Xenopus tropicalis: one gene and its partners. The protein of the gene in region 1 purifies or fractionates together with the protein of each later gene. This does not show direct contact. Links are inferred from orthologs where the notes say so. Each region holds a gene or a part of one and is shown on either strand. Other genes may lie near its edges.

What was found.
Region 2: the proteins of cd81 (region 1) and gnb1 purify together in Homo sapiens (co-immunoprecipitation; 4 studies listed by BioGRID and IntAct, with this or other methods). This does not show direct contact. The link is inferred for Xenopus tropicalis from reciprocal best matches to the Homo sapiens genes CD81 and GNB1.
Region 3: the proteins of cd81 (region 1) and itgb1 purify together in Homo sapiens (affinity purification with western blotting; 4 studies listed by BioGRID and IntAct, with this or other methods). This does not show direct contact. The link is inferred for Xenopus tropicalis from reciprocal best matches to the Homo sapiens genes CD81 and ITGB1.
Region 4: the proteins of cd81 (region 1) and ptgfrn purify together in Homo sapiens (co-immunoprecipitation; 7 studies listed by BioGRID and IntAct, with this or other methods). This does not show direct contact. The link is inferred for Xenopus tropicalis from reciprocal best matches to the Homo sapiens genes CD81 and PTGFRN.

Annotation. Positions count from the first base shown.
Region 1 is NC_030680.2:22,326,289-22,333,174, reverse strand, and holds the end of cd81 (CD81 antigen), read right to left. Parts: intron 6,659-6,886; coding exon 6,584-6,658; intron 4,999-6,583; coding exon 4,888-4,998; intron 4,514-4,887; coding exon 4,412-4,513; intron 4,333-4,411; coding exon 4,249-4,332; intron 3,596-4,248; coding exon 3,533-3,595; 3' UTR 2,909-3,532; downstream 1-2,908. UniProt on the Homo sapiens protein: Structural component of specialized membrane microdomains known as tetraspanin-enriched microdomains (TERMs), which act as platforms for receptor clustering and signaling.
Region 2 is NC_030683.2:91,944,533-91,951,340, reverse strand, and holds part of gnb1 (guanine nucleotide-binding protein G(I)/G(S)/G(T) subunit beta-1), read right to left. Parts: intron 5,775-6,808; coding exon 5,708-5,774; intron 5,202-5,707; coding exon 5,000-5,201; intron 3,154-4,999; coding exon 2,937-3,153; intron 2,024-2,936; coding exon 1,917-2,023; 3' UTR 1,916-1,916; intron 1,411-1,915; 3' UTR 1-1,410. UniProt on the Homo sapiens protein: Guanine nucleotide-binding proteins (G proteins) are involved as a modulator or transducer in various transmembrane signaling systems.
Region 3 is NC_030682.2:22,883,112-22,890,974, forward strand, and holds part of itgb1 (integrin beta-1 precursor), read left to right. Parts: intron 1-928; coding exon 929-1,145; intron 1,146-1,223; coding exon 1,224-1,394; intron 1,395-1,828; coding exon 1,829-2,067; intron 2,068-3,051; coding exon 3,052-3,207; intron 3,208-3,416; coding exon 3,417-3,512; intron 3,513-3,978; coding exon 3,979-4,068; intron 4,069-4,202; coding exon 4,203-4,343; intron 4,344-4,598; coding exon 4,599-4,801; intron 4,802-5,114; coding exon 5,115-5,353; intron 5,354-5,728; coding exon 5,729-5,951; intron 5,952-7,078; coding exon 7,079-7,311; intron 7,312-7,863.
Region 4 is NC_030678.2:405,760-413,622, forward strand, and holds part of ptgfrn (prostaglandin F2 receptor negative regulator), read right to left. Parts: coding exon 7,481-7,863; intron 5,060-7,480; coding exon 4,709-5,059; intron 3,720-4,708; coding exon 3,309-3,719; intron 2,796-3,308; coding exon 2,403-2,795; intron 1-2,402. UniProt on the Homo sapiens protein: Inhibits the binding of prostaglandin F2-alpha (PGF2-alpha) to its specific FP receptor, by decreasing the receptor number rather than the affinity constant. Functional coupling with the prostaglandin F2-alpha receptor seems to occur.

The DNA of each region.
Region 1 (6,886 bases):
AAGAAGACAAGAAATCCTGTGTTTCTTTTGATAGAGGACTCAGTGCAGCGTTTCTGTGAGTGCTTTTGGCTGTATTTACATAGACCTTTCTGATAAAGCTTACTTAGTTTTTACCTTTCCTTCTCCTTTAAAAGGGAAACTGTACCCACATAAGCAACATAATGTTAAATTAAACAATTGCATGTACGGATTTGAAACATAGGCGCAGAGGCCAGGAGGCAATTTATGACGCTCCCAGGGCTGGACTACTCTTCTTTAAAAATCACAGCTGCCTGGGTATGCATACGCCAAGCCTTACCTTGCAAAAGTTATGTCTGGAAAAATAGAGAATAAGGTGCAGGTTTTATAAAAAGAAGCACTTTCCCGGAGTATTGGCTAAATGATTAAACTCAGTGGGTGGCGTCTAACAAATTGGTTGGGCGTAGTTTCCCTTTAGTAATAGCAGTACAATATGTATTAAACAGTGCACTATATGGCGGCTGGCACTGCTATCTTTTAGGGTCTGGGTTTCCATACTGAATACTGAAACTGTTGAGTAACTAGCGAGGAGCAATAACGCTGAGGGGCCAATAAAAATAGACCAAACTGTACTATTCAAAGGGGAAACTGTCATACTGTAATAATCCCTGTGGGTCTAATGGGCCAATGCAAATGCATAAAATGAGATCCATGATCTCTGCTTTCCTCTGTTCGTCTACATTTTTTTTTCTCTTCCTTTTCCCTCGCCTGATACATGTCCTGAATCTTTTACTCACTTGTGACCCAGGCAGCCTGAAAGCAGAAGCTCAGAGGCATCAATGATATCATTATTTTTATACTGCTTACATTTCTTAGCCTTATACTATTCCAGAGCTACACGATGTGCAGAAAAAACAATAATAGTACATGGGAGCACTTACCGCCTAATCAGTGTGCTACACGTGGACCTACTCCCAGATGGATCCTAGATACGGTATGCAAGAAAAATAATGATTTTTCTTGCAGAGCTACACGATAACAGAGTTCCAAATCTAACAAAAACAATGTGCTTAATAAAATAAAAACTACTGTCTACCTCACCCTTGAGTTTTTAAGATGAACTTCCCCTTTAAATTAGAAACCCCCCAGGCCTTGGGAGAGGTTTATCAACTGCCAGTCCTGCCAGAAACTGTCAGCCTGAAGGCCATGACCCATGATCCTGTGCAGGGATCTCCATTGTACAGAGGTACATCTGTTGCTCCTCAAGGCTTCCCGGGCGACAGCTGCGCAGAACTCCAAGTCCCACTCTGTGAGCAGCTCCTTTGTGCAGGATGAGCAAAGCATTTTGCCTTCTAACAGGGCCTTGTTGTCCACTTCGCTGCAACTGTCCTTCTTTTGAAAGAATATGTAGTACTCAGGCTGGGCCAGCTGAAAGCGATGTGGAGATTGTGTTGTCTGTTGGAAACAAGATCCTTAGGCTGATACGTGGGGGTGTAGTCTCTGCCAGCGGAGAGGCGCCCAAAATGGTCATTGCTGCCTCTCATGCATTTAAATGGGAAACGTGTAACTAGTGATGCCAAATCGTCCCTTGTACATCAGCAACATATTGAATCCACAGCCTGCATGGCTAGTTAGCAACTAATTGAGATGCATGCTGCAGACTGAACTGATTTATGTGCAGCCATACATCACCGGCTGAACTCCGGCTTCCAAAAACAGCCACACACAAAACAGAAACCCCCCAATATACCTATCACTGTAATCTGTTCCTTCAAATAAGTATAAATTAATACTATTTATATATGCTGAAATCCAGCTGCAAAACAGCTTTCTTTCTGAATCAATTGAAATCCTGGCAGGGGAGGAGGGACTAAAACATTAATGTTACAAATTGTAACAACTTCTCCACAGCTTACAGACAGCATGCAGGAACTACATAACCCACAATGCATTGCACTGTGTTCCTTTCTTTGTTTACATCACATGTGCAGGGTCTCAAAGTAGTCAGCCAGATCAGCAGGGATACAGGGGACTAGGCTTAGATAACAAAATCATATTATTGCATTAAAAATCATGAAAAGGCTGCATATTTTTTTTAACTGATGTATACTGCAAAGTTGCTTGAAATTGTGTTTGCTTTTCAAAAATCAGAAGTTGTGTTTGGGTGGAGTTCCCCTTTAACTTCTAGCTAGCCATGCAGGGATTATGTATTAATTGGGTGCAGGGGCAACCCTATGGGTAATTAAATCCAACAATGCTCTAGTGAGTGATTTCAGACTGAAAAGTGCCAGAATATGGGATAAAATGTGGAATTTGTGCCTCACAATCGGTGCCCAGGAGCTAAATTGCTAGAATGTTCATTACATTTTGTATAGACTTTTGGTTTGCCTCTAAATATATCCTGTGTTCCTTACAGGGTTTTCTGTTTCTTTGCTTTGATCAATATCCTGCTGTAATGTAACCAAAGGGGTGTAGACACAGAGGCGTGCCAAGCCAGCTGGGCGCCCAAGGCAATGCGACTGGCCAGTTTGCCTCCTTACCCCGATGTGTGAGGGCAAGAAAAATGGACAAGAGTTAGGCAGAAGATGTACCTGCCTGGAGCCCCCTCATCCTTGCACCCTAGGCAGGTGTCTCTTCTGCCTCCCCCTAGTTCTGGCCCTCCTCATACAGGATCCTGGGCACACCCTCACCCTGCTTGTAAATGTATGCTGCATGGCTATACATAAATCAGTTCAGTCTGCAGCATGCATTAATTGCTGTGTGTCTGCAAAACACCCATAAAGCGTATGTGTTTCTGGCACAAATATAAACATTAATTTTTATTTTATATAATATAATTTAACAGGAGAATTTATTTTTATCCAATAGCAAATTTTGCCCATAAGGTTTTAGAGAATTCCCCCATCATCCCCATCCCTTCACCCCATAAATAAATGAATCAAGACTTTGGTGTCAGTGGGGGGAAAAAAAAAGCCCCCAAAGGATTTTAATCAGAATCTTTTTACATGTTTATATTTATATATATATTTACTATGTAATGATGGAGTGTAGGAAATAGGGGCCATCGTGCAAGGAATATGGATTGACTCCTCTCCCAAAAGTACGAACACAACATCTTTTACACGTGAAACGGGGAGAGATTGTGACTCGACAGCAATAAGAAAGTAAAGAGTGGCCGGACGCACACAGACTTGATTGTAGCACGTGGCTGAATTCAGCCGGCCTACCACGGAACTCTTTAGTATCTTATTGCGCGGCAAACACAAGATGATGCGTCCTTCTGACCGCAGAAGCTGTAAACTGGAAGTCAGAGCCCTGCAAGCAGGCCGTATACATTCAAGGGCACCCGAATTCCCGAGTGTCTTGTTGAAGAAATACCTAGAGCATCGCTCATACAGACATAGGGATAGTCCAAGCTAGGAATCCACTGCACTGGCGGGACACTGACTCGATCGCCAAGAGGGTAGGATATTTAAAAAAGAAAAAAAAAAAAATTGAAAGGGAGACGTTGGGAGGGTTTGGGGGAAGAGGAATAAGACAAGGATTTATATACATAGGAGAATAAAGACGTTCCTTAGTATACAGAATAAATCCGGATGCCACAGCACAGGACCATACTGAATATCATCTCGATGATCTATGGGAGAGAGAAGAGGGAAAAAGCAGAATTGATTAATTGAGATGCAAGTATTTAAAGGACAAAACAAACTGCCTGGATAGGACAACAGCAATAAGTAATAAGGCACAGAAGAGCAGAAGTGGATCAGAACCTTCTATCTTGCTGCTTCACCTTTCAATAAACTTTTAGGATGACATAGACATTAATATTCTGAAACAATCTGCAATTGTTTTTGTATTTTCTTTTGTTTTGGTTCGGCAGATCTCCAGTTTGGTATTTCAACAACTATTTGGTTGCTAAGGCTTATTTCTCTTAGTAACCAGGCAGTGGTTTGAATGACAGACTGCCAAATGAATAGGAGAGGGAATGAATAGAATGATAAGGAATAAAAAGCTAACAATAATGATGGCATTGTAGCCTTACAGAGCAATAGTTTTTTTTTGCTGGAATGATGCAGAAGAGGAAGGCAAATAATTCAAAAATAAACAAAAAAAAAACCCTACGTGCCAGTTTCCCCCAACCAGTACTACGTGCCATACAGCAACTATTTCTCTGATGGTAGGAGAAGCCCATGATAGGATACTGGAATCCTTCACACAGAGCTATGCATACTGGCTGGTTAGACGGGGGAGATTAGACAGAGGCACAGGGAATGCGTGCAGCGTTCTTACCATAATAACGGCCACCACAACAGCAGCGATGCCAACCAAATAAAGCTTTGTAGAAAAGAGGACGTCAATTTTCTGGTGGCAGTCCTGAAATAAAATGTAAATGATTAGTGTGAAAGAATGGTCCTAGCCGTGCCAAAGCCCTTTCGTCCAAAGGCATACTAACCTCTATGGTGATTTGCTCTAGGATATTACTACGCTTCGGACACATATCGGTGATGCTCATGGTGACATATTTTTTAAGACTGGCGTCGCCACAGCACTGCAGCTGGAAGGGTAAGAAGAAGACTGTTTAGCTGAAACATGGGGACCATCACTACAATAACAGGCAACTGCATACATTCAGTACAATAAACACACACATTGGATAAGGGTTTTTTTCCTTATAAAGTTGGCCATGCACAGCCAGATTTGATTGGGCAGTTTGGCCCATTTAAAGCAGACTGCTGAGTGTCTGGGAATGTATGTCGGCAATAAATCTTGTTGGCAAATAAATTCATCTTCACTTCCTGCAGCTGCAATTGCCTATTGGCCCAAACGATAGAAATAATAGCACTTGGACAACCTAGTGTATGGCCAGTACTGGCCTTTTTGGCCCATGGGCTGATCAGCCAGATGCCCTGAAGGGTAATTAACACTTACTGTCTCATGGAAGGCCTTGAGCACAGGGAGAGCCTTTTGCTGCTGTTCCTTAGTCCCGGTGGTTGCATGTTGATACACTTCACTGTAGAAAAGCCGCATTTCCTTTGAAACCTGGCAAAATATGTATAATATTAGCAGTGAAGGCAGCAGAATGGCCCCAAATGGCCCTGTGAATTATGGCATTTGCCTTTTCATTCTGCCTCTCTTTCATCTTATCCGGTTTCTAGGGTCATTGACTGTAGCAACCAGAATGCCGAAGCCAGAGAGCTGCAGAACAGATACATTATTGTAATCTGTCCTAGAATAACACTACTGACATCATACTGAGCAATTATTTTGAATATGCTAAAGGAACAGTAACATCAAAAAATTAAAGTGTATCAAACTGATATATATATAATGTACTAAAAAGTTGAGTTTTTGCTTTAAAAACCCTACAGTAGTTTATATAAACAACGCTGCTGTGTAGACATGGGGGCAGCCATTTAAAATGAAAAAAAGGAGAAAAAGCACAGGTTACATAGCAGATAACAGATAAGTTGCATAGATTCCCATTGTATTATATAGAGCTTTTCTGTTATCTACCATGTAACCTGTGCCTTATCTGCTTTTTCCAGCTTGAATGGCTGCCCCCGTGGCTACACAGCAGCTTATTTAAAACAATCATAGTAGGTTTTCTGAAGTAAACACAGAACTATTACCAGTGCAGGGCAACAGTACATTATATTTTATGTACTTTGAAACATTCTTTGGTGTTACTTTCCCTTTAATAACACTGATATTAGCTGGGCATGGGTACTCCAATGAATATGAATTATCTAGGATTAGTGAATGGACAGCTAGTCTGAAGGCAGGGCTACTATCAGGGCACTGGGAAGCAATGGGGGGGGGGGGGAGCAGGACGGAAGAAACAGGAAGCAGAAGAGGGAAACAGGTGACAGATGAGAGGAAAAGGAAACAGGCGGGAGGCACAGTATGTATTTTTGCTGCCTAAGGAAGGGGTATGGAATGCAGATGGACTTCCTGATGAGGGTCAGCACCCCATGACATGGCAGTGGGAGAAGTGGCCATGGCCATACCTCACTGTCTGTGTTGGAATGATGCGCCCGTTACTGGCTGTCAGTAAGGAAGAGTTTATCACACAGCCACCCTCCTTCTGCTTCATGTTGTACAACCATCTTATTAGGGGTCATTTACACCACACAAACTGGTGTATTGCACAACCTGTGGGGGGTGATTTCCCAATGCAATGAACTCACCTGCGGGTCACTGGGAAAAAACCTGATGTCCCTGCACCTTGCCGGGAACTTGTGGGTGCCGGAAACCCCTGTGACAGGGGGAGGGGGTGGCATAAAAAAAGCAGGAGTGCTCTACTGGGGTGGGGGCCCCTAGGCAGTGGCCCTGGTAGGAAATGGGTGTGGGTTGGGGGAATGGGGTGTAGAGTACAGAGATCCCTTGCACCTCCCTGAGCACTGTGGCTTGTCATTTTATATTTCTGCACACCACAATTTGAGCACGGTTGAGGCACTTGAGCTATAGAACCCCCAACTGTGGGTGCTGGGAGTTATACCACACAAAAACTATAAGGATGCAACCCCCAGAACAAGAAGCTTTATGTACTATTTGTAACAATTAACAAGTAATTCCTCCCTCTCAGCAGCCTTTGGCCAGACAGTGTAACTACATAAATACTCACCTGATCCCTGTTCACAAAGCCCCAGATACCAGCAGCCACCTCACAGGCGAAGAGGATCACCAGGCACGCAAAGAACTGCAAATACATGGCATTTGGTGAGTAAAAATGACACTAACCAGCTTATTGACCCACAGCCTATAGTCTTCATGCAGGTCTTACAACCAGCTGTAGTTTAACTACAACCAAAGACCCCAGACAGCCTTGAGCTACTGGACAATGCCAGAGGCTGCTGCCTGCATTTCACTTATAAGGGTGAAGACACACAGAGCTACTTAGTAGCAGCTACTTTTCATTAAAAGTGGC
Region 2 (6,808 bases), on another chromosome or scaffold:
CTTTCTCTTTAACTTCTTTTCCCCAGTGTTTGGTTAGGAGGAACTTGGGTTATTATTCAGGGTTCTGTGGATAAGGATTTGACATGCTTCAGAAAGTGAAGGTCGGTATTGATTAAACATTAAAATAACTTGGTAAACGATCCTTTTATTCCTTTTCTGTAAAGTGAAAACCATAAGAGCATAAAGCACCAATAAGACTCCTCTACATTACATTTGGGGATCATTTTCCTTCAATCCCCGCAGGAAAAGAGGTTAGTATTCAAAAAATAATAAGGATCTTTCACACTCCTCAAATAAGCTTAGCTGGGCTTGATACGGGTGCAAATCCTCATGATGTACATACTTAGAGAAAAAAAGAAATATGTTTTCCTCTGGTTGGAACCCTTGCAGCACCCTTTACTGGCTTTAAGGGGGTTTCTGGGATTATCCTGAACAGACTGAGCTCCGGCACATTGCTCTGCAATTCTGCATGGTCTCAATCATAGAGGAGTTAGTATATGATGAGGTGTAGGATATGGTTAAGGTGTACAGGGAACAGTTTATTATTAATGGTGCCATGTTCTGGGCAGCCTGGAGACACAATCCATTATCAAATGGATCTTTTAATTCTCAAATGGCCCTATCAATACATTGGCATTCCAGGCATTGTGTTATAACCATTTCCTAGCATTTGGCCATCAAAAATAACTCAATCGCTGGAGCAACCTACCCATTGAAGTTATTTAATAGAGGGCATGTGGATAGTTTACACTTGTGTGTTATTAACTTGGCCACTTTCTGTGCAAGTTTTCACAAGAAACTCTACAGGGACAGGGCTAACAGTATGTCCTGACACACAGACTCAAGTTCCACCTTCACTTAATGGACCAAAGTAAAAAATAAAAACCACAATAAGTAAACTTCTCATTTTAAAATCCTTTTTGTTTTTATATAGCTGCAGATTTTCCATACCTGCAAGTGCACCAGACTCTACAAAATGGCAATCTGGACAGACTTATCAAGGACCTTCAGGTAAACTTTCATGAAACTCACTTTCTGCTTAACAAAGCTAACTGTATGTCTTTACTGTATAGTGTTTTGTATCATTAATCTTCAAGACGAGATGTAGAGAAGAGAAAGAAAATCAAATAAAAAAAAGTAAGTAAAGAGGGAATAATGGAATAAACGGTCCCAAAAGGAATGAACAATTCTGTTTCAGAGACCAAAACAAAACAAAACAAAACAAATCTTCCTATAGCAAATAATTGTGCTCTTCGTTTCAGCAAAATAAGGGGAGAGTTTTCTGCCCTTTGATGTATAGGAATAGGGAGAAAGGGTGTCCACGTTAGTATGGTTGGATCGGATATGCTATGATTTAAAATTTTTGAAGGTTGGAATGGTCTTCCAGTCACGGAGAAGCCCGCTTAGTATCTAGAAAGAAAGATAAAAACTCTGCTTTAATTTACACTGACACAAACTCATTTATCCTTTCCATTGGGTGGTGAAGAACAAATAGGGAAACAAATACAAAATGAGGATCAAAACATATTTCCTGATAATGAAAATGTTCTCAACTTTACACATGTAGATAATGTGGCTGTAACTGGGGTCATCGAAAAGGAAACGTTTGTCTTTCAAGATCCCCCAAACTGATTAGTGAGGGTGTGTATCTATACCTTACAAAAAAACAAAAGCTCCCTTTAATTTCATAGCAAAAGAATGCTTAGTACAGTGGAATGCCTATGCAAGCACATATTTATGGCATGTCTTTGTACATGCTGCTAGAAAACATACATATTAGCCACTATGAGAAACATATGTAAGGGGCCGTTCAGCTACACAAACTCCATTAAGGTCGTACCAAGCAACAACCAACCATTTTTTCTGATTAGTAGTACTACTAGCTACAACAACAACAAACACCATTTGAACCTACTTTAGTTCCAGATCTTGAGGAAGCTGTCCCATGACCCTGTTGCCACTGCCATGCCATCATCTGTTACTCCCAAGCAACTTACACGATTATCATGACCAGCAAGAACACCTAGGCACATAAAAAGGAAAAGTTTAGTGAAGTATAATGTAAAGAGGTTTTAGATCTTAAAACAGGAAGCATTGTGTCTTGTTTAATGTGTGGAATGTAATGTGTCCATTGCTAAAATTACCCAGAGGCCAAAGATCCTGTGAATCAATCAGAAAGGCAGCCAGCTTTCATGAAACTGGAGAACCTGGAGTGATCACTTCATGGTTTAAAGGCAACTAAATGTACTTTCTTTAATGTAAATAAGTCTGTACCACTTCTCAAAGATAGCAGTCCTGTGTCTTGTTTTGGCTTTAGGTGTCATAGTGCCTTTTACAGTTAACCAGTTTGATTTAGAAAATATTCCATCAATTACCCCAAAAGAGATCCTATTAACATTTATCAGAGCCAAAGATGAATAGGGGAATGCATATGCAAGTGTGCCCCAAAGAGATGCAACAAGGCACAAATTGTCACTTAGTACCGCTCTATCTGCTGAAACAAAAAATGCAAGAGCAGTGCTCTTATGAAGTGCACATCCCTTATCTGCTCCGGCTATTAAGTGAACAAATAATTTATGGCAACTATACATCCAGCACAGGGCAAAGAATTCAGGGAAGTAAGAAGCATCACCCAATTTAAGAGCCAGCAGTTAGAGAGAATAGCTGCAGGAGTCATGGTACTACTCCGCACTGCTTCATTTTGAATATAATCAGCTTTATGCTTTAAAGAAGCATGTTATAGCTACTATGAAAATTACAAAAAACTATGTTTGCTGTCATAAGCTTGCTTGTGTATACAATTAAGAAATGTGTAGCATAGAAGTGTTTATCCCAAAATACAAATATCAGGTTAAAAAAGCTAAAAAAAAAAAAAAATGAAAAAAATCTGAATTAAAAACAATGTAAATAATATGCCCATTAATCGGCAGCCATACCAGCTCTATCAGCCTTAAGTGTGTCCCAGACATTGCAATTAAAGTCATCATATCCAGCTAGGAGGAGGCGTCCACTCTTGGAGAATGCTACAGAGGTGATGCCACAGATAATATTATCATGTGAATAAACCATCAGTTCCTGGTCAGCCCGAAGGTCAAACAGCCTGCAGGTGGCATCATCTGAACCAGTGGCAAAAGCATTGCCATTGGGGAAGAACTGAAAACAGAATGACATTAAAAATTAGTTAATATATACACAAATCTACATATCTATTAATAAAACATCAATGTGTGTTACTAAAATAATATCAAGGTGTGTTAATTAAATTAAACTCGGTACCATATTATTGTAGACAATTATTACAGAAATTGGCTGTGCCTGATTGCATTTCTTATGATTGGCCATTTGAAAATTCTATACTTTAACAGGAGATTTTAAAAACAGAGGAAGAGAGGATTGTTAATTTTTTATTTTTTGTAACTTATAATTTTAGATTTTTGTTATTGTACATATGTAAAAAGTCAGCACAAACATGAGAAACTATATTAACTTGATGGATGGTTAGTTTTATAGTTAGCCAGTGATCGTTTTACCCCCCAATAGTGGGCCCTATGACCTTTCTCCCACATAAGAAACTTAGGTTATTGCCTTTGCATTAAGAATTCAAAAGGCAAGTTAAGATCTTCCATTATTTGTGTTTCTGTGTGCTCATATGAATCAATTACTAATCAGATTACCAGTCAGCCTCACTATAAGTCAGTTACTAATCACCCATATAATGTCAAAGTATATATAGTGTATATTATGAGTCAGTGCCTATTCTCAGGTAACTGACAGCAAAACAGAACATGTGCTGTGAATAAGCAGAAAGAGGATGGGGACTGGCCGAGGTAGTATCAAGAGACACAGATTTTTTTTAGAAATAAACCCTAAAAATAAATGTGACTAGAAATACCATATTTTATATACTGAACTTACTGCACCAACCTAAAGGGTTCAGCATCGCTATAGTAGCAACAATCCAGTACTTCAAAGTTGTCAAAGGGGGTCATCAAATTGGAATCTGTTAGAAGTGTCAGTGACATGCTCAATGTGCTTTGGGCAGCTGTTGAAAATCTAAGCTTGGGGTTCTTAGCAAATTATCAAGCAGAAAATGAGGTTTGTCTGTCATAGGGGGGAAGACGCTTGGGAGCTGATTATTAAATTCTGATGCTAATTGCATTGGTTTCTGAGCTGCCAAGCAGCAATTATTTGTATTGATTACTTATCAGCCTTATATTGTGACATTTATATTCTATATATACAGTTCATTGTGACTGGTTCCCTAAGCTCAGTAACAACACAGAGATTGTGCAGTGAATCAGCAGAAGGCTGTGGTTGCCTTGGGCTGGTACTACATTTCTAGCCTACTTCTTTAGTTAAGCTTTAGTTTTCCTTTCATCTGCTAAAGGGAGGTAGTGGCTTTGGTCTGGTACAGAAACCCACAATATAAAGTGTAGTATATGTAGCCTAATTTGTTGTTTAATTATTTTGGATAGTTACCCGCAGTGTTGATTTTTTTTTATTCAAATGCCCCCTGCCAGTGCTAGGCTACCCCCACCAGGAGGGAGCTTCTGGTGCAGGCAGCCATATTGTAACACATGCGCATAATAAGCGAGTGCCACAACTCGTTCATTATGTGCATGCATGATGTAGGAGGGTGAGTTGCATCCAACGCTCCCATGCCAGGGGCATGTGTATAAATGAGTGAGCGGTGAGATTTGCTCAATATACGCATGCAAGCCAAACATGGTCGCCTGCACCGGGAGCTCGCTCCAGGCCGGGGTTAAAACACCAGTTGGGTAAAACTATCGTTTTACCCAACTGGCGTGCAGGCTCTATTAGCCCAACCTCTGGAGGGGGAAACAATATGGGAGTCGATAGATGCACTTTAAATTTATGCTACATGAAAAGAGTGTTGCGTAGCCATACTTTACCCAACGTGCCCTTAACATGGCAAACCTTTTGGCAGTCATATGGATAAGACAAGTTTGGATAGAAACAGGTGGTCACATAGACTTACACAGATGGCATTTATGTCCGACTCATGTCCAGTGAAGGTTTGTCTACACATTCCTTCTCGAATGTCCCAAAGTTTGGCAGATGCATCACAGGCTCCAGACACGAAGCACCTGGAATCTGGAGCTAAGGACAGGCTCATAACATCCCCAGTGTGTCCAGTAAAGGTTGTTGTCTGCTGGCCAGTTTCAATGTCCCAAAGGGCACTGTTCAGAAAGAGACAGATGAGCTCAAAGCATCAAAAGGCACAGAAACACATATTATATATATACACACACACTATATATATATATTATATAAATATAAAAGAAAAGATGGAAGCTTCTCTGATGCTAAACAGGCAGCTAGGCCAAGTCATTCTTCATACACTGACAAATTAGCCCCCCCCATCTCTCTAAATTGTGAAAAGTTTGTATAGAACATAAATCCTAATTATGAACAGAAGCCTATTTCTGCTATTAAAGGAGACAGAAAGGTATGATCACTGGGGGGGTGCCAAAATGTTAGCTGACAGGAGCACTGGCCTGAGGTATCAGGTAAGCGATTACAATCACTGGGAGTGGCTAACATTTGGCCCCAGTGACTATATCTTTCCTACTGCTTTAAGGGATATTTTATAATACTTTCACAGTACAGGGAAATACTATGCTGACAGCAGTACAGTAGCTTTCTTTAGAGACTATAAACAAACTGAGGGGATCAATAAACTCACCAAGTGGTATCTCCAGAACTGGTAATTATTTGGTTATCATCCAGAAAACGGCAGCAGGAAAGATACCCTGTAGAAAAACGGATGATTAAAACAGCTTGAATTAAAACCATACAACATCCAAGGACTTTGGTATAAACATAATAATGGTAATAAAGTCCGTGTATAATTTACTAATACTATAAATTAATCTGAAAGGTGGACTTTTTATTTAACAAACTACCATTTTGTGGAGTGATCCAGTCTGAATTAGCATCTCACATTAAACAGATATACAAAAGATGTGTAATGTTTAAAGTTAATTATAGTTGCTATCTATCAATATTAGCATTTATAAGCTTATGGCCATTAATGGACGATGGTGTCCAAAGTCAAAAAGTAGTACAGATATGGGACCAGTTATCGAGAATGCTTGGGAAATTTGGTTTTCCGGAAAAGGAGGCTTTCTGCAATTTGGATCACCATACTTAAAAAGTAATTTAAGTATTAAAAAAAAAACACAACAGGACTGTTCTGCTACCAACAAGGGTACATCTTTTGTATTAACATCTTAAGATGTTATCACAACATCTTTTGTATTTACATCTGGGACAAATAGACCCCTTATGCTGTAACATATTAATACCAATAATCTAAGTTTTGCCCAATACCTGCTGCTATCACATCATACTGTGTTTAAGGTTTCAGATGTGTTGCTCACAGGACAAATAATGTCTTTATTAAACCCAAATAAGTATAAAAACACAATTCATTAATGATACACATCATAACAGCAGTACATATGGTGGAATCACTGCTAAGCTTGTGATTTTTACGAGAAAGGGATTAGTCTTTTAAGACTATGGAATCAAAATGAGGTAAAAATGGATTGTGTTATGTGAAAGGATCCAGAGTCTCAGAGCAATCAAGGAGCAGGACCAAACAACTGATCTGACAATCCTGTAAATCTGTATATGATTGCCATAAAGCAGTGGTATCCAACCTTTTTTGCACCAGGGACCGGTTTCAAGCAAGACAATTTTTCTGAGGACCAGGGGTGGTGGGTATAATACAGCTCATCATAATACAAAATCAGCAACTAGATGCACCCAGCCCCTCTGCTCT
Region 3 (7,863 bases), on another chromosome or scaffold:
GGCTCGGGAGCCAGATGTGGCTCTTTTGATGGCTGCATCTGGCTCGCTGCCAAATCTTTAATAAAAAAAAAAAACTGGGGGTGTGGCCTGCGCTTGGCATATAGAAGACGTGTTCTAAGTCTTAGAAAACGTCTTCTATCCGCCGAACGCAGGCCACGCCCTCCTCCACATCCGGCATCCTTGGCACCCACCCTACCTTGCCCCTGCGCTCGGCGGATAGAAGACGTGTTCTAAGCCTTAGAACATGTCTTCTATCCGCCAAGTGCAGGCCACGCCCTCCTCTGCATCGAATATGCATCCGGCATCCTTGGGGCCCACCCTACCTTGCCCCGCAGCATCCACGGCCAAACATATTGTATGGCTCTCACGGAATTATATTTTAAAAGATGTGGTGTTTATGGCTCTCTCAGCCAAAAAGGTTCCCGACCCCTGTTCCAGAGTATGTCTGAGACATGATGCCCTCCTAATGTAAGCCAATGCTGGAGAGGAAAGGGTGTTAAATAGCTGCAGTTCCTTTCAAGAGAGCCACAGTGATATATTGCCTCCTGTATCATTGGCCTTAGTATTGGTTATTGCCAAAAAAAAAATTAATGACTGCTGAAGTTGCAATAAAGCAAAGGAGTGCCGTCTCTGCCCAGCTAAAGGTGCTTAGTAAAGTCCAGCGATTACTGTATCTTAAACATTACACAGTAATGACATTTGCTTTCTCCTGGAAGAGGCTTCTGGCTATGGAAAATGGCAGAACAGCCCAATACCCTTGTACCATTTAAAATGAATTGTACGAATGGCATCTTTGCTGCACATTTATAGCTGAATCCCACTTTGAATTGAGGTGCAAAAATTAAAACCTTTTAATTTGTTGAATTTCAAGTATATATCCATTATCAGAGTAATTTATATGCCTTCTTTTCCCCGTGGTTAATCTCAGAACTTCTTACAAGAAGGAGAGCCCACGTCAGCACGTTGTGACGATTTGGCTGCTTTGAAAAACAAAGGCTGCCCTGAAGAAGACATCCAAAACCCCAGGGGACGTAAACAAAAGCTAAAAGATATCCCAATAACAAACAAAGGGAAAGGAGAACGTATGGACCCTGCAAACATCACCCAAATCCGACCTCAACAACTGGTATTCGAACTGCGATCAGGTAGGCTCCTAAACCTTAGATAGGGGGCAGCTTTCTCCTCTCCAGCACCATCTAATTGTGTCTGTTGTTTTATGCTAGGTGAACCCCAGACATTTAATTTGACATTCAGAAGAGCAGAAGACTATCCAATTGACCTGTACTATCTTATGGACCTCTCATTTTCTATGAAAGATGACTTGGAGAACGTTAAAAGCCTTGGAACAGCACTAATGACAGAAATGGAGAAAATTACTTCAGATTTCCGGATAGGTACATTTATCTCAAATTACTGTTGCCTAGCTGTATTATATATCAGCACTTGGTAGCCTGATGTCACTAGTCTTATTCCTATGCTTTAATACCTTGCACTATTTGCTGGCACTTATGTGAAATTAGTTACTGTTACATTACAATTATGTAGAAAACAGTAATTGTTACATAGTACTGCCAATTACAGTGTATGTCGCTCCTTAGAAAGCTGGCCATTTTATCCCTCCTTCCTAAATTGATGGGTGCTTACAAGTACCTGTAACTTTCTCTGCATCCTTTGAGAAATACTTTTAAAATGGCATGCCAGTGTATACCATTAGTATAGTCATCAGTTTTAGACCAGCCATGTAAAATTATAAAGGTTTCCTGCCCTTTGGATACTGGCATAAGCAATTCTACCAAACACATTCCTATTTTACTTGTTTTCTCTCTAGGTTTTGGCTCTTTTGTGGAAAAAACAGTCATGCCCTACATAAGCACCACTCCTGCCAAGCTTATTAACCCATGCACAAGTGATCAGAATTGCACCAGCCCATTCAGCTATAAAAATGTCCTCAACCTCACTAGCGACGGAAAGTTGTTTAACGACCTGGTAGGCAAGCAGCAGATCTCCGGTAACTTGGATTCTCCCGAGGGAGGCTTTGATGCAATTATGCAGGTTGCGGTCTGTGGTGTAAGTATTTTTAGCCATTATTTTGATCTTGGTTACGAGACTGTCTGTTCTGTACCACAAGAAAAATCATTAAGGGCATTGGCACATTGTTATGAGCCAAGGGGGTCTGGTCCAAAGGTTGGGCCTAACTGGTTGGGCCTAAGGTCTACCTTAGAATGTATTGTGGTTTTTGGCCTTAGAAATTCTCAAGAACTTTTGGGCAGTATTGGAAGTACATGTAAAAAGTCAAACAGCGTTTGTTTCGCCGCCCCATATAGATAGCTCACACATTTATTTTACTCTGGCTTGAAATTCTGCACCTTTGAGCAGTGTCATGTTTTAGTGGCTTAAATCGGTTGTTCACCTTTAATTTTACTTTTAGTATTATGTAGAGCAATGTTGTCCAACTTATAACATGTAGCAGGCTATTTATCTCATACAGCACAATTCAATTCAAATGATGTCATATAGTGAAGTCAATGGGGTGTTTGAGCAGACTGGGGGATATAAAGATCCTTTGAAGGGCCACGGCCGGCCTGCGGGCCTCCAGTTAGACTGCGCTGATGTAGAGAGTGCTTTTTGAGAGAATTTGCAACTGGACTTCATATTTATTTGCAGTTTTTTGAATTATTTAGCTTTTTGTTCAGCAGCTCTCCAGTTTAGAATTTCAGAAGGTATTTGGTTGCTAGGATCCAATTTAACCTGGCAACCATGTAGTGCTTTAAAAGAGAGACAGGAACATAAAGGAGGAACAGTTTTTTTTTTTTTTGTTTTTTTTTTTACTACTAGGGTCAGGAAAGGCAAATAATTTAACAAGCACCTCTGTTTTGCGCAGAATTTTACAGATCTCCACATTCACAGTGGACAAAGCAAATGAAACGTAGATTACAAAAAAAGCACCATATAGTGATATATATTCTACATGTACTTATGTATTACAAATCCCAGAATAGGAAACCACGTTATGTGACGATTAACATTTTCTGTTTAATGTTTTTCTTAAAGGAGCAAATTGGTTGGAGAAATGTCACACGCTTGCTGGTCTTCTCAACTGACGCAGGATTCCATTTTGCCGGAGATGGAAAATTAGGCGGCATTGTATTGCCAAATGATGGCAAATGTCATTTGCATGGGAACATGTACACAATGAGCCACTATTATGTACGTATCTTGTATTGCCCACGTTACCGTTTTACTCAATAACTTTCTTCACAATTACTGTTTTCTACATAATTGTAATGATTATTCGGTAATCTACAGGTGTGTTTTTTGTTTTTGTTTTGTTTTTTACGTTCAGTGTATTATTGAAAATACTGTAGATACGAATTGTATTTTTGGGTGTTCATTTGTTTTGTTTTGTTATTTTTAAGGACTATCCCTCAATTGCTCACCTAGTTCAGAAACTTAGTGAAAACAACATTCAGACCATTTTTGCTGTTACAGAGGATTTCCAGCCAGTCTACCAGGTATTTATATTTGTTTATGTCTATGGTATATACACATGAATAGTAATAATAATTACTTGAGTTTAAGAGGAAAAAAATAGGTCTGGGAGACAAAAACAAGACTGGAGGGGCGAAAGATCAGAGGCAGAAGGGAAAAGTGCAAGGGTCAGAGAAGGATGGGAGTTTTGGAGAAGGGGGGCAGAAAGAGAAGGGAATAGCAGAGAAAGAATAGAACAAAAAAGTGAACAGAGTAGGTTTGGTGGTAAGTAGTGCTGCTATGGAAGAAATTTCTACTGGGGTGGTCAGCTAAATGCTGCCATATATGACTCTTAACATCAAAGGTATTTTCAAGACGCTGCTGTATGATTGCTAGTAACTGCCATTGTTTTGTCCTTTTCTGTTGAGCAACGGAAAACGGACAGTGGAATGTTAACTTTAATACATTAATGGCTCTGTAACATTATCCATATTTGTGTTTTTTTGACAGGAGCTGAAAAATCTGATACCAAAATCAGCTGTGGGAACCTTGTCCTCAAATTCCAGCAATGTGATTCAACTGATTATTGACTCCTATAATGTAAGTATCTGCCAGAAGTATCCATACCCCTGACGGCACTTTTGGTTTTATAGTTTTGTTCATTACTGTTTCATAGCTCTCTGTTCATTTCTATTGGAATCCAAAATAATCCTAAGTGATCTTTTTGTTTCCAGTCTCTTTCCTCTGAACTTATTTTGGAAAACAGCAAATTGCCAGAGGGTGTAACAATCAGCTATAAATCATTCTGTAAGAATGGAGTCAAGGGAACTGGGGAGGATGGAAGGAAATGTTCAAACATTTCTATTGGAGATCAGGTGAGTTCCCAACACATTTAGGCCTATGAAACCCCCTTGATTTGGACTATAGTAAACCTATTTGCTTGTTTCATGCAAGCAATCCCTGCTTATCAGCATAGGCATCCCTTTTTCCTATTCAAACAAATGTGAAGCAGCTGCTTGCAGGAAAGGTTGTTTGGGTTAAAAATCATGCAATGTCCACCAAAGTGGATGTGCGGTGCAGTACATAATGTGTCCAAGTAAGTGGATACTAACAGAGTTGCTTTCTTACAGGTGGAATTTGAAATTAGTGTGACAGCTCACAAGTGCCCCAAAAAAGGACAAGCGGAATCCATAAAAATCAAACCACTTGGATTTACCGAAGAAGTAGAGATTGTTCTCCAGTTCATCTGTGAATGTGATTGCCAGGAAAAAGGGACGCCCAACAGCCCTGAATGTCATCATGGAAATGGAACATTCGAATGTGGTGCCTGCAGGTATTGTGCTTCCTTGCATTTATTGGGCATCAGTGCACTTTAAAGCCCTGGCTTGAAATCCCTCTGTGCATAATGCCTTATTTTTTTAAATGTATATATTGTTAATACATCACATGTCATTTTTAAATTGCCAATTTTATTCATAGTGCAGTGGATATAAATGGCTAATAAATAAGAGTAGTAGAGCTTCAGTTGGTTGAAGTGGCCAAAAGGAATTTGTAAACGTGCCTCTACAACAGGATCTTATCCACAGCCAATCCAGCTCCTCTTTTCAGCTATAAAATAATAAATCGCTATGCTGTTTCCATGACAGATGTAATGAGGGGCGCATTGGGAAGGAGTGTGAATGCAGCACCGATGAAGTAAACAGCGAAGATATGGACGCTTATTGTCGAAGAGAAAATAGCTCTGAAATCTGCAGTAACAACGGGGACTGTATATGCGGCCAGTGTGTGTGCAAAAAACGGGACAATCCCAATGAAGTTTACTCCGGCAAGTACTGTGAATGCGACAACTTCAACTGTGACAGATCCAATGGGCTGATTTGTGGAGGTAAGAATCGATCACATAATTTATATGTTTCAGAGGGCAGAAACACCAGCTGCAGTCTTGCATTCATTCAGTCTCAGTACTTTATTATTAGTCTTTATAGAGTGCTGACTGGTCATGCAGCACTTTATAGCACTTTATGCATCATTCTGATCCGTCCCTGCCCCAGTGGAGCTTACAATCAAAGGTGCTTATCACATTCACACACGAACACTAGGGTCAGTTTTATCAGAATCCAGTTAACCTGCCTGTGTGTTTTAAGCATTCCTTTTGCAAAGCATAAGTAGAACATACAAACTCCTTGCATTCACTGGCAACTGTTGTAAGGGTTACTAAAGATGTTTGAAATTGTAAAATCAAACCATATTTTTGTTACAGGTAAAGGCGTGTGCAAGTGTCGAGTATGTGAATGTTTCCCCAATTACTCCGGCAGTGCTTGTGACTGCTCAGAGGATACCTCCACTTGTATGGCAAAAAATGGCCAGATATGTAACGGGAGAGGAATATGTGACTGTGGAAGGTGTAAATGTACAGATCCTAAATTCCAAGGACCAACCTGTGAACTGTGTCAGACCTGCGTTGGTGTTTGTACGGAGCACAAGTAAGTGACTTTCTGGTAATGGAGACTGTGTGGTCTTAAAGGAACAGTAACACCAAAAAATAAATAGGTGTATCAAGTAATTAGGTTATAACACACTAGTACAAGTTGTTGTGTGTTTGCTTCAGGAACACTATCATATTTTATATAAACAAAGATACAGTGTAGCCATAGGGATAGCTGTTCAAATTGAAATAGGGCTAAATGGCACAGGTTTCGTGCAGCCTGTAAACACTATCATATTCTACAGAGCTTATCTGTTATCTGCTATGGAACCACCCTTTTTTCCAACTATTTATATAAACTATAGTAGTCTTTCTGAAGAAAACACACAACTTTTACCAGTGCAGGGCAACAGCACATTGTGTTTTAAACCTGTGCCTTTTCTCCTTTGAATGGCTGCCCCATGGCTTCACAGCAGCTAACTTATATAAACTATAGTAGTCTTTCTGAGGCAAACACACCAGTTGTAGTAATGCAGGGCAACAGTATATTATATTATTACTTTTATACACTTTCATTTTTTGGTGTTACTGTTCCTTTAAGGGTGAAGACACATGGGGCTACTTGTAGCAGCTACTTGTTGTGGCTTCTAATGACTCTGCCGATGAACGGGGATGTACAAGTCGGGATGCCTCTGTACAAGTCGGAGGCAGACTGTTATGATCTTAATATGAGAAATTATGTGTGTTTGTGTAGACAAGTATATTTATTTTCGACCGTTCAGATACTGTATATGCCTCTTATACAGACAGAGGATATATATATATATATATTTTTTAAAAGCTAAGTGGACCTTCCAATATCTCCCAGTGCTGTAATCATCAATCTTTTATTTTTAAAGGGATGTTGCCTCTTGTACCCTTTACCTTTATACCATTTAAATCAATTACAGAGCATCTTATGAAGAGTACCATTTATTGTTAAAGGCTTTGCTGCCCTTTTGGTTACGAAAAGGATGAATTCTGCTTATTCTCGCATTGCCCGCTCCTGTCTGCTGCACATACAGTGCGTGTGGCTGGTCTCTGTGAATTCTTCCAACTTCTGCAAGAATCTGGAGAGCAAACTCTCCAACAGTCTGATATTATTAAAAGAAGTTTTATTTACTAACAGTATATTTTATTTTACAGAGAATGTGTCCAGTGCCGAGCTTTCCAGAAAGGAGAGAAGCAAGAAGTATGCCTGGAGCAGTGCATGCACTTTAACATCTCTTTAGTGGAAAGTCGGGAAGACTTGCCCCAGCCAGGCCAGGCAGAAGCCCTCACACACTGTAAGGAAAAGGATGCAGAAGACTGCTGGTTTTACTTCACGTATTCAGTCGATTCAAAGAATGAAGTTCTGGTGCATGTGGTGAAGGAGCCAGGTAATTGTTCTGTTCATGACATGACATAAAAGTGGCTGAACAAACAGAGAAACAGCAAAAATTAATTAGAAATATGTCTATGAGTGATGGGTTGTATTGGGTTTACACAGGATCTGCTTGTTTGGCAACCCAAGAGTCAAATCTGCCCTATTTTTATTAATTTGACCACTGGGTCAACACTTAGCATAGGGTACCCACTGCCAAGTTCCATATCCAGAGCCTGAAGCAGCCCTAGGCTGATGGGATATTCTAGACTGCCAGTTTAATAGCAGAATTAGCCCTGATCTGAGACCAGTAAGAGAGGCATTATTTTGGGAGCCATACATGGGCTACTCCTACACAATTCACTTTGTGGCCCTTGTCAGCACAGATAATTGGAAAATTAGGAAAGGCTGACTTCAAAGTGAAACCTGCTGTTAGTCTAGTTCAGCCTGCAAATGCAATTGTTTTTCACTAGTTGTGTTTTATTATAAGCATGAATTTACCCATTGTGTGCCAGGCAGGCGCTTCCTCTCTGACCTGAAAAAGCATTATTATGTACAGATGCACGGA
Region 4 (7,863 bases), on another chromosome or scaffold:
AGGCCTCACTGTACCCCGACACTGGGGGGATGGGGGTGTGTTTGGGCAGGGCCCCCAGATCTGCACGCTAAACACAGGCCTCACTGTACCCCGACACTGGGGGGGATGGGGGTGTGTTTGGGCAGGGCCCCCAGATCTGCACGCTATACACAGGCCTCACTGTACCCCGACACTGGGGGGGATGGGGGTGTGTTTGGGCAGGGCCCCCAGATCTGCACGCTATACACAGACCTCACTGTACCCCGACACTGGGGGGGGATGGGGGTGTGTTTGGGCAGGGCCCCCAGATCTGCACGCTATACACAGGCCTCACTGTACCCCGACACTGGGGGGGGATGGGGGTGTGTTTGGGCAGGGCCCCCAGATCTGCACGCTATACACAGGCCTCACTGTACCCCGACACTGGGGGGATGGGGGTGTGTTTGGGCAGGGCCCCCAGATCTGCACGCTATACACAGGCCTCACTGTACCCCGACACTGGGGGGGATGGGGGTGTGTTTGGGCAGGGCCCCCAGATCTGCACGCTATACACAGGCCTCACTGTACCCCGACACTGGGGGGGATGGGGGTGTGTTTGGGCAGGGCCCCCAGATCTGCACGCTATACACAGGCCTCCCTGTACCCCGACACTGGGGGGGATGGGGGTGTGTTTGGGCAGGGCCCCCAGATCTGCACGCTATACACAGACCTCACTGTACCCCGACACTGGGGGGGATGGGGGTGTGTTTGGGCAGGGCCCCCAGATCTGCACGCTATACACAGGCCTCACTGTACCCCGACACTGGGGGGGGATGGGGGTGTGTTTGGGCAGGGCCCCCAGATCTGCACGCTATACACAGGCCTCACTGTACCCCGACACTGGGGAGGATGGGGGTGTTTTTGGGCAGGGCCCCCAGATCTGCACGCTATACACAGGCCTCACTGTACCCCGACACTGGGGGGATGGGGGTGTGTTTGGGCAGGGCCCCCAGATCTGCACGCTATACACAGGCCTCCCTGTACCCCGACACTGGGGGGGATGGGGGTGTGTTTGGGCAGGGCCCCCAGATCTGCACGCTATACAAAGGCCTCGCTGTACCCCGACACTGGGGAGGATGGGGGTGTGTTTGGGCAGGGCCCCCAGATCTGCGCGCTATACACAGACCTCACTGTACCCCGACACTGGGGGGGATGGGGGTGTGTTTGGGCAGGGCCCCCAGATCTGCACGCTATACAAAGGCCTCGCTGTACCCCGACACTGGGGGGGATGGCGGTGTGTTTGGGCAGGGCCCCCAGATCTGCGCGCTATACAAAGGCCTCACTGTACCCCGACACTGGGGGGGATGGGGGTGTGTTTGGGCAGGGCCCCCAGATCTGCGCGCTATACAAAGGCCTCACTGTACCCCGACACTGGGGGGGGATGGGGGTGTGTTTGGGCAGGGCCCCCAGATCTGTGCGCTATACACAGGCCTCACTGTACCCCGACACTGGGGGGGATGGGGGTGTGTTTGGGCAGGGCCCCCAGATCTGCACGCTATACACAGACCTCACTGTACCCCGACACTGGGGGGGATGGGGGTGTGTTTGGGCAGGGCCCCCAGATCTGTGCGCTATACACAGACCTCACTGTACCCCGACACTGGGGGGGATGGGGGTGTGTTTGGGCAGGGCCCCCAGATCTGTGCGCTATACACAGACCTCACTGTACCCCGACACTGGGGGGGATGGGGGTGTGTTTGGGCAGGGCCCCCAGATCTGTGCGCTATACACAGGCCTCACTGTACCCCGACACTGGGGGGGATGGGGGTGTGTTTGGGCAGGGCCCCCAGATCTGTGCGCTATACAAAGGCCTCGCTGTACCCCGACACTGGGGGGGATGGGGGTGTGTTTGGGCAGGGCCCCCAGATCTGCACGCTATACAAAGGCCTCACTGTACCCCGACACTGGGGGGGATGGGGGTGTGTTTGGGCAGGGCCCCCAGATCTGCACGCTATACACAGGCCTCACTGTACCCCGACACTGGGGGGGATGGGGGTGTGTTTGGGCAGGGCCCCCAGATCTGCGCGCTATACAAAGGCCTCACTGTACCCCGACACTGGGGGGGATGGGGGTGTGTTTGGGCAGGGCCCCCAGATCTGCACGCTATACAAAGGCCTCACTGTACCCCGACACTGGGGGGGATGGGGGTGTGTTTGGGCAGGGCCCCCAGATCTGCACGCTATACACAGGCCTCACTGTACCCCGACACTGGGGGGGATGGGGGTGTGTTTGGGCAGGGCCCCCAGATCTGTGCGCTATACAAAGGCCTCACTGTACCCCGACACTGGGGGGGATGGGGGTGTGTTTGGGCAGGGCCCCCAGTCTCACTGTACCCCAAGTGCAGCCCCCTGATGCCCCCCCCAGGCCTCCCTATTACCCCCTACCTGAGTTCTGGAACTGCAAAGCCACTGGATTGGACGTCTGGTTCTTGGCTTCCCTCCAGGCCCCGCCCCCTCCCGGGGTCCAAGCGGTAATGGAGCAGCGGTAGGTGCCCGCCTCCTGCGCCTGCGCCTGGTACAGCCGGAATCGGTACTCGCCCTCCTTCACCTTCTCCAGCGCGGCTTTGCCAAAGCTCTCCCCCTTCCTGTGGGTCAGTCCGTCTCGGCTCAGCAGTAGGACTTGGGGGCCACTGTGGGGGCCCGACGGTTCCATTGCCACTTGCACAGAGTATCGGGGGGAGGGGATGTTCCGGGTAGTGACGTGGCACTGCATCTCAAAGGTGCCCCCCGAAACTGCCACAGCCCTGGTCACCGAGGCCCTGACTGCCAGCGAATACTCTGCAAGGCAAGAGATTGTACCAACTCACTCATGGGGGGGGACTGGCACCGCCCAACCCTCCCACCGCCTGGAACCCCCCCTGCCTTTTAGTTATATACACACCGCATGGGAGGGACTTACTCTACTAATGTTAGCCTTATTCCCATTGGCCTATATTCTCAGCATGGGAGGGACTTCCCTTTCCACTCAACCTATCACTGAGCTCCAGTACTCTACTAATGATTGCCTTATTCCCATTGGCCTATATGCTCAGCATGGGAGGGACTTCCCTTTCCACTCAGCCTATCACTGAGCTCCAGTCTGTGCCAGGAGAGAGAGGACAGGTGGGTTTAAGCTGCAGTTGTGGCCCTGGCAGGGCGGCAGCCATTAACTGTGTATATTTGTTATAAGTGTCCCCAAAGCACAGTAAGTATTGCCTGCCAACCTACCTACCAGGGACTGGCTGATCATGTGACAGCTTGTTACCCCTCCCTGTAGCAATAGCTATGGGCTTGTGGCCCGGCTGCCCCTACCTTCTTGCTCCCAGGAGATGCTGATGGGGGGGGATGCCACCTCCCTGCTCGGTGCCCAGCTCTCGTTGCGCTGCTGCTCCCAGACGGTGCCCACACAGCGGTACTGCCCCCGGTCCCCGTTGGAAGTCCATTGGATGCGCAGCACAAAGGCCTGGGGGCCCCTGCGGGAAAGGATAAGCCCCCCGCTCTCCAGGCGCTCCGTGTAGCGCTCCCCCACACTCACTGACCAGTCCTGCCCCAGGGACCCCACAAGCACCGGCGGGGATGCCCTGCTCTCTGGGCTGGGGCTGTGGTACCAGGACACGGACAGGCGGGCACCGTCAGATCCACTCATGTGGCACACAAGCTCCGTCGGCTCCTCCGAGAACTGGGGCGTAAGGGTGGCATTCAGCGACACCTCCAGCTCTGGCACTGCCAATGTGGGGAGAGAAACTGGTATGAGTGCCAAGGGGGCAAGGGGGGGGGGGAAGGTGAGACGGAGAGAGGGGACACGGGCACAGAAACACACTGGCACAGGGAATGGCACACACACCAGCACAGGGAATGGCACACACACTGGCACAGAGAATGGCACACACACCGGCACAAGAATGGCACACACACCGGCACAAGAATGGCACACACACCGGCACAAGAATGGCACACACACCGGCACAAGAATGGCACACACACCGGCACAAGAATGGCACACACACCGGCACAAGAATGGCACACACACCGGCACAAGAATGGCACACACACCGGCACAAGAATGGCACACACACTGGCACAGGGAATGGCGCACACACTGGCACAGGGAATGGCGCACACACCGGCACAGGGAATGGCACACACACTGGCACACACACCGGCACAAGAATGGCACACACACCGGCACAAGAATGGCACACACACCGGCACAAGAATGGCACACACACTGGCACAGGGAATGGCACACACACTGGCACAGGGAATGGCGCACACACCGGCACAGGGAATGGCGCACACACCGGCACAGGGAATGGCACACACACCGGCACAGGGAATGGCACACACACTGGCACAGAGAATGGCACACACTGGCACAGAGAATGGCACACACACTGGCACAGAGAATGGCACACACGCACAGAGAATGGCCCAGAGAATGGCACACACTGGCACAGAGAATGGCACACACACACTGGCACAGGGAATGGCACACACACTGGCACAGGGAATGGCACACACACACACTGGCACAGAGAATGGCACACACACACTGGCACAGGGAATGGCACACACTGGCACAGAGAATGCCACACACTGGCACAGAGAATGGCACACACACTGGCACAGAGAATGGCACTGCCATACAAAGAGTGAGAGAGTGGCAAAGGTGCCCAGGCACAGAGAGACCTGTGTGCCACTCTCATATTTACCCGCTGAATTGGGCAGCACGTTGATGGGCTCCGTGCTCCTCTCCATGATTGGGTGCCAGGTGCCATTACTGCCCGGGGCCCAGACTGTAGCCTGGCAGCTGTAGTGCCCTGCGTCCCACCCACGTGGCACTTCCAGGAGGTGTGTGCTTGCCCCCTCGTGGGTAGGATCAGGGTCGCGCCCACCCAGCAACTCCTGCCGTTCTTCAGGGCTGGGTGCCTGCTGAGCAGATAGAAACCATCGCACACGGGTACAGACTGGCGCAGCGGAGTTGTGCCACACCCGGCAGGAGAGGCGCAGGGGCTCCCCCGCATTCCCACGCACCACTGGGGCTGGCACCGTCACATTCATACCTGCACAGAAAGGAGGCATTAGGGTGGCACTAGGGGACTGGCACATTGATACCTGCACAGGAAGGAGGCATTAGGGTGGCACTAGGGGACTGGCACATTGATACCTGCACAGGAAGGAGGCATTAGGGTGGCACTAGGGGACTGGCACATTGATACCTGCACAGAAAGGAGGCATTAGGGTGGCACTAGGGGACTGGCACACTGATACCTGCACAGGAAGGAGGCATTAGGGTGGCACTAGGGGACTGGCACACTGATACCTGCACAGGAAGGAGGCATTAGGGTGGCACTAGGGGACTGGCACATTGATACCTGCACAGGAAGGAGGCATTAGGGTGGCACTAGGGGACTGGCACACTGATACCTGCACAGGAAGGAGGCATTAGGGTGGCACTAGGGGACTGGCACACTGATACCTGCACAGGAAGGAGGCATTAGGGTGGCACTAGGGGACTGGCACATTGATACCTGCACAGGAAGGAGGCATTAGGGTGGCACTAGGGGACTGGCACACTGATACCTGCACAGGAAGGAGGCATTAGGGTGGCACTAGGGACTGGCACACTGATACCTGCACAGGAAGGAGGCATTAGGGTGGCACTAGGGGACTGGCACACTGATACCTGCCACAGGAAGGAGGCATTAGGGTGGCACTAGGGGACTGGCACACTGATACCTGCACAGGAAGGAGGCATTAGGGTGGCACTAGGGGACTGGCACATTGATACCTGCACAGGAAGGAGGCATTAGGGTGGCACTAGGGGACTGGCACACTAATACCTGCACAGAAAGGAGGCATTAGGGTGGCACTAGGGGACTGGCACACTGATACCTGCAAGGGAAGGAGGCATTAGGGTGGCACTAGGGGACTGGCACACTGATACCTGCAAGGGAAGGAGGCATTAGGGTGGCACTAGGGGACCAGAACCTACCCATGGGCCCCTCCCCTATTCTAGAGCCAGTACCAGAACCTACCCATGGGCCCCTCCCCTGTTCTAGAGTCAGTACCAGAACCTACCCATAGGTTGCACCCTATTCTAGAGTCAGTACCAGAACCTACCCATAGGTTGCACCCTATTCTAGAGTCAGTACCAGAACCTACCCATGGGTTGCACCTTATTCCAGAGTCAGTACCAGAACCTACCCATGGGTTGCTCCTTATTCTAGAGTCAGTACCAGAACCTACCCATGGGTTGCTCCTTATTCTAGAGTCAGTACCAGAACCTACCCATGGGCCCCTCCCCTATTCTAGAGTCAGTACCAGAACCTACCCATGGGTTGCTCCTTATTCTAGAGTCAGTACCAGAACCTACCCATGGGTTGCTCCTTATTCTAGAGTCAGTACCAGAACCTACCCATGGGCCCCTCCCCTATTCTAGAGTCAGTACCAGAACCTACCCATAGGTTGCACCCTATTCTAGAGTCAGTACCAGAACCTACCCATGGGCCCTCCCCTGTTCTAGAGTCAGTACCAGAACCTACCCATGGGTTGCACCCTATTCTAGAGTCAGTACCAGAACCTACCCATAGGTTGCACCCTATTCTAGAGTCAGTACCAGAACCTACCCATGGGCCCCTCCCCTATTCTAGAGTCAGTACCAGAACCTACCCATGGGTCCCTCCCCTATTCTAGAGTCAGTACCAGAACCTACCCATGGGTCCCTCCCCTATTCTAGAGTCAGTACCAGAACCTACCCATGGGCCCCTCCCCTATTCTAGAGTCAGTACCAGAACCTACCCATGGGTCCCTCCCCTATTCTAGAGTCAGTACCAGAACCTACCCATGGGTCCCTCCCCTATTCTAGAGTCAGTACCAGAACCTACCCATAGGTTGCACCCTATTCTAGAGTCAGTACCAGAACCTACCCATGGGCCCCTCCCCTGTTCTAGAGTCAGTACCAGAACCTACCCATAGGTTGCACCCTATTCTAGAGTCAGTACCAGAACCTACCCATAGGTTGCACCCTATTCTCGAGTCAGTACCAGAACCTATCCATGGGTCCCTCCCCTATTCTAGAGTCAGTACCAGAACATACCCATGGGTCCCACCCCTGTTCTAGAGTCAGTACCAGAACCTACCCATGGGCCCCTCCCCTATTCTAGAGTCAGTACCAGAACCTACCCATGGGTCCCACCCCTGTTCTAGAGTCAGTACCAGAACCTACCCATGGGTCCCTCCCCTATTCTAGAGTCAGTACCAGAACCTACCCATGGGCCCCTCCCCTGTTCTAGAGTCAGTACCAGAACCTACCCATGGGCCCCTCCCATGTTCTAGAGTCAGTACCAGAACCTAGCCATAGGTTGCACCCCTATTCTAGAGTCAGTACCAGAACCTACCCATGGGTTGCTCCTTATTCTAGAGTCAGTACCAGAACCTACCCATGGGTTGCACCCTATTCTAGAGTCAGTACCAGAACCTACCCATAGGTTGCACCTCTACTCTAGAAACAGAAATCTTCTTCTCCTGGATCGGTGCCCAGCCTTCAGGGCCCAGAACCCACGTCCGTGCCACACAGCTGTACTCTCCCGCATCAGCACTGAGGGCCCCATCCACTGCCAGGCGGTACCCGTCGCCCCCCATGGTGTCCAGCCTGACTCTCCCACTGCTGTATCGCTCCTCATACCCTGGGCCGGGCTGGAAGCGCCCCAAATGGGACAGAGTGAGAACGTCAGCGGCTGAGCCCTCTGGGCCTTGGTGCTGCCAGGTAAGAGACAGGTGAGTGTGATCCGACGAGTCGCCCGAGAGCGCCTGGCACTGCAGCTGAAATGAGCCCCCTTCCGTTAGGGTCCGCGTGCCCCCCAGC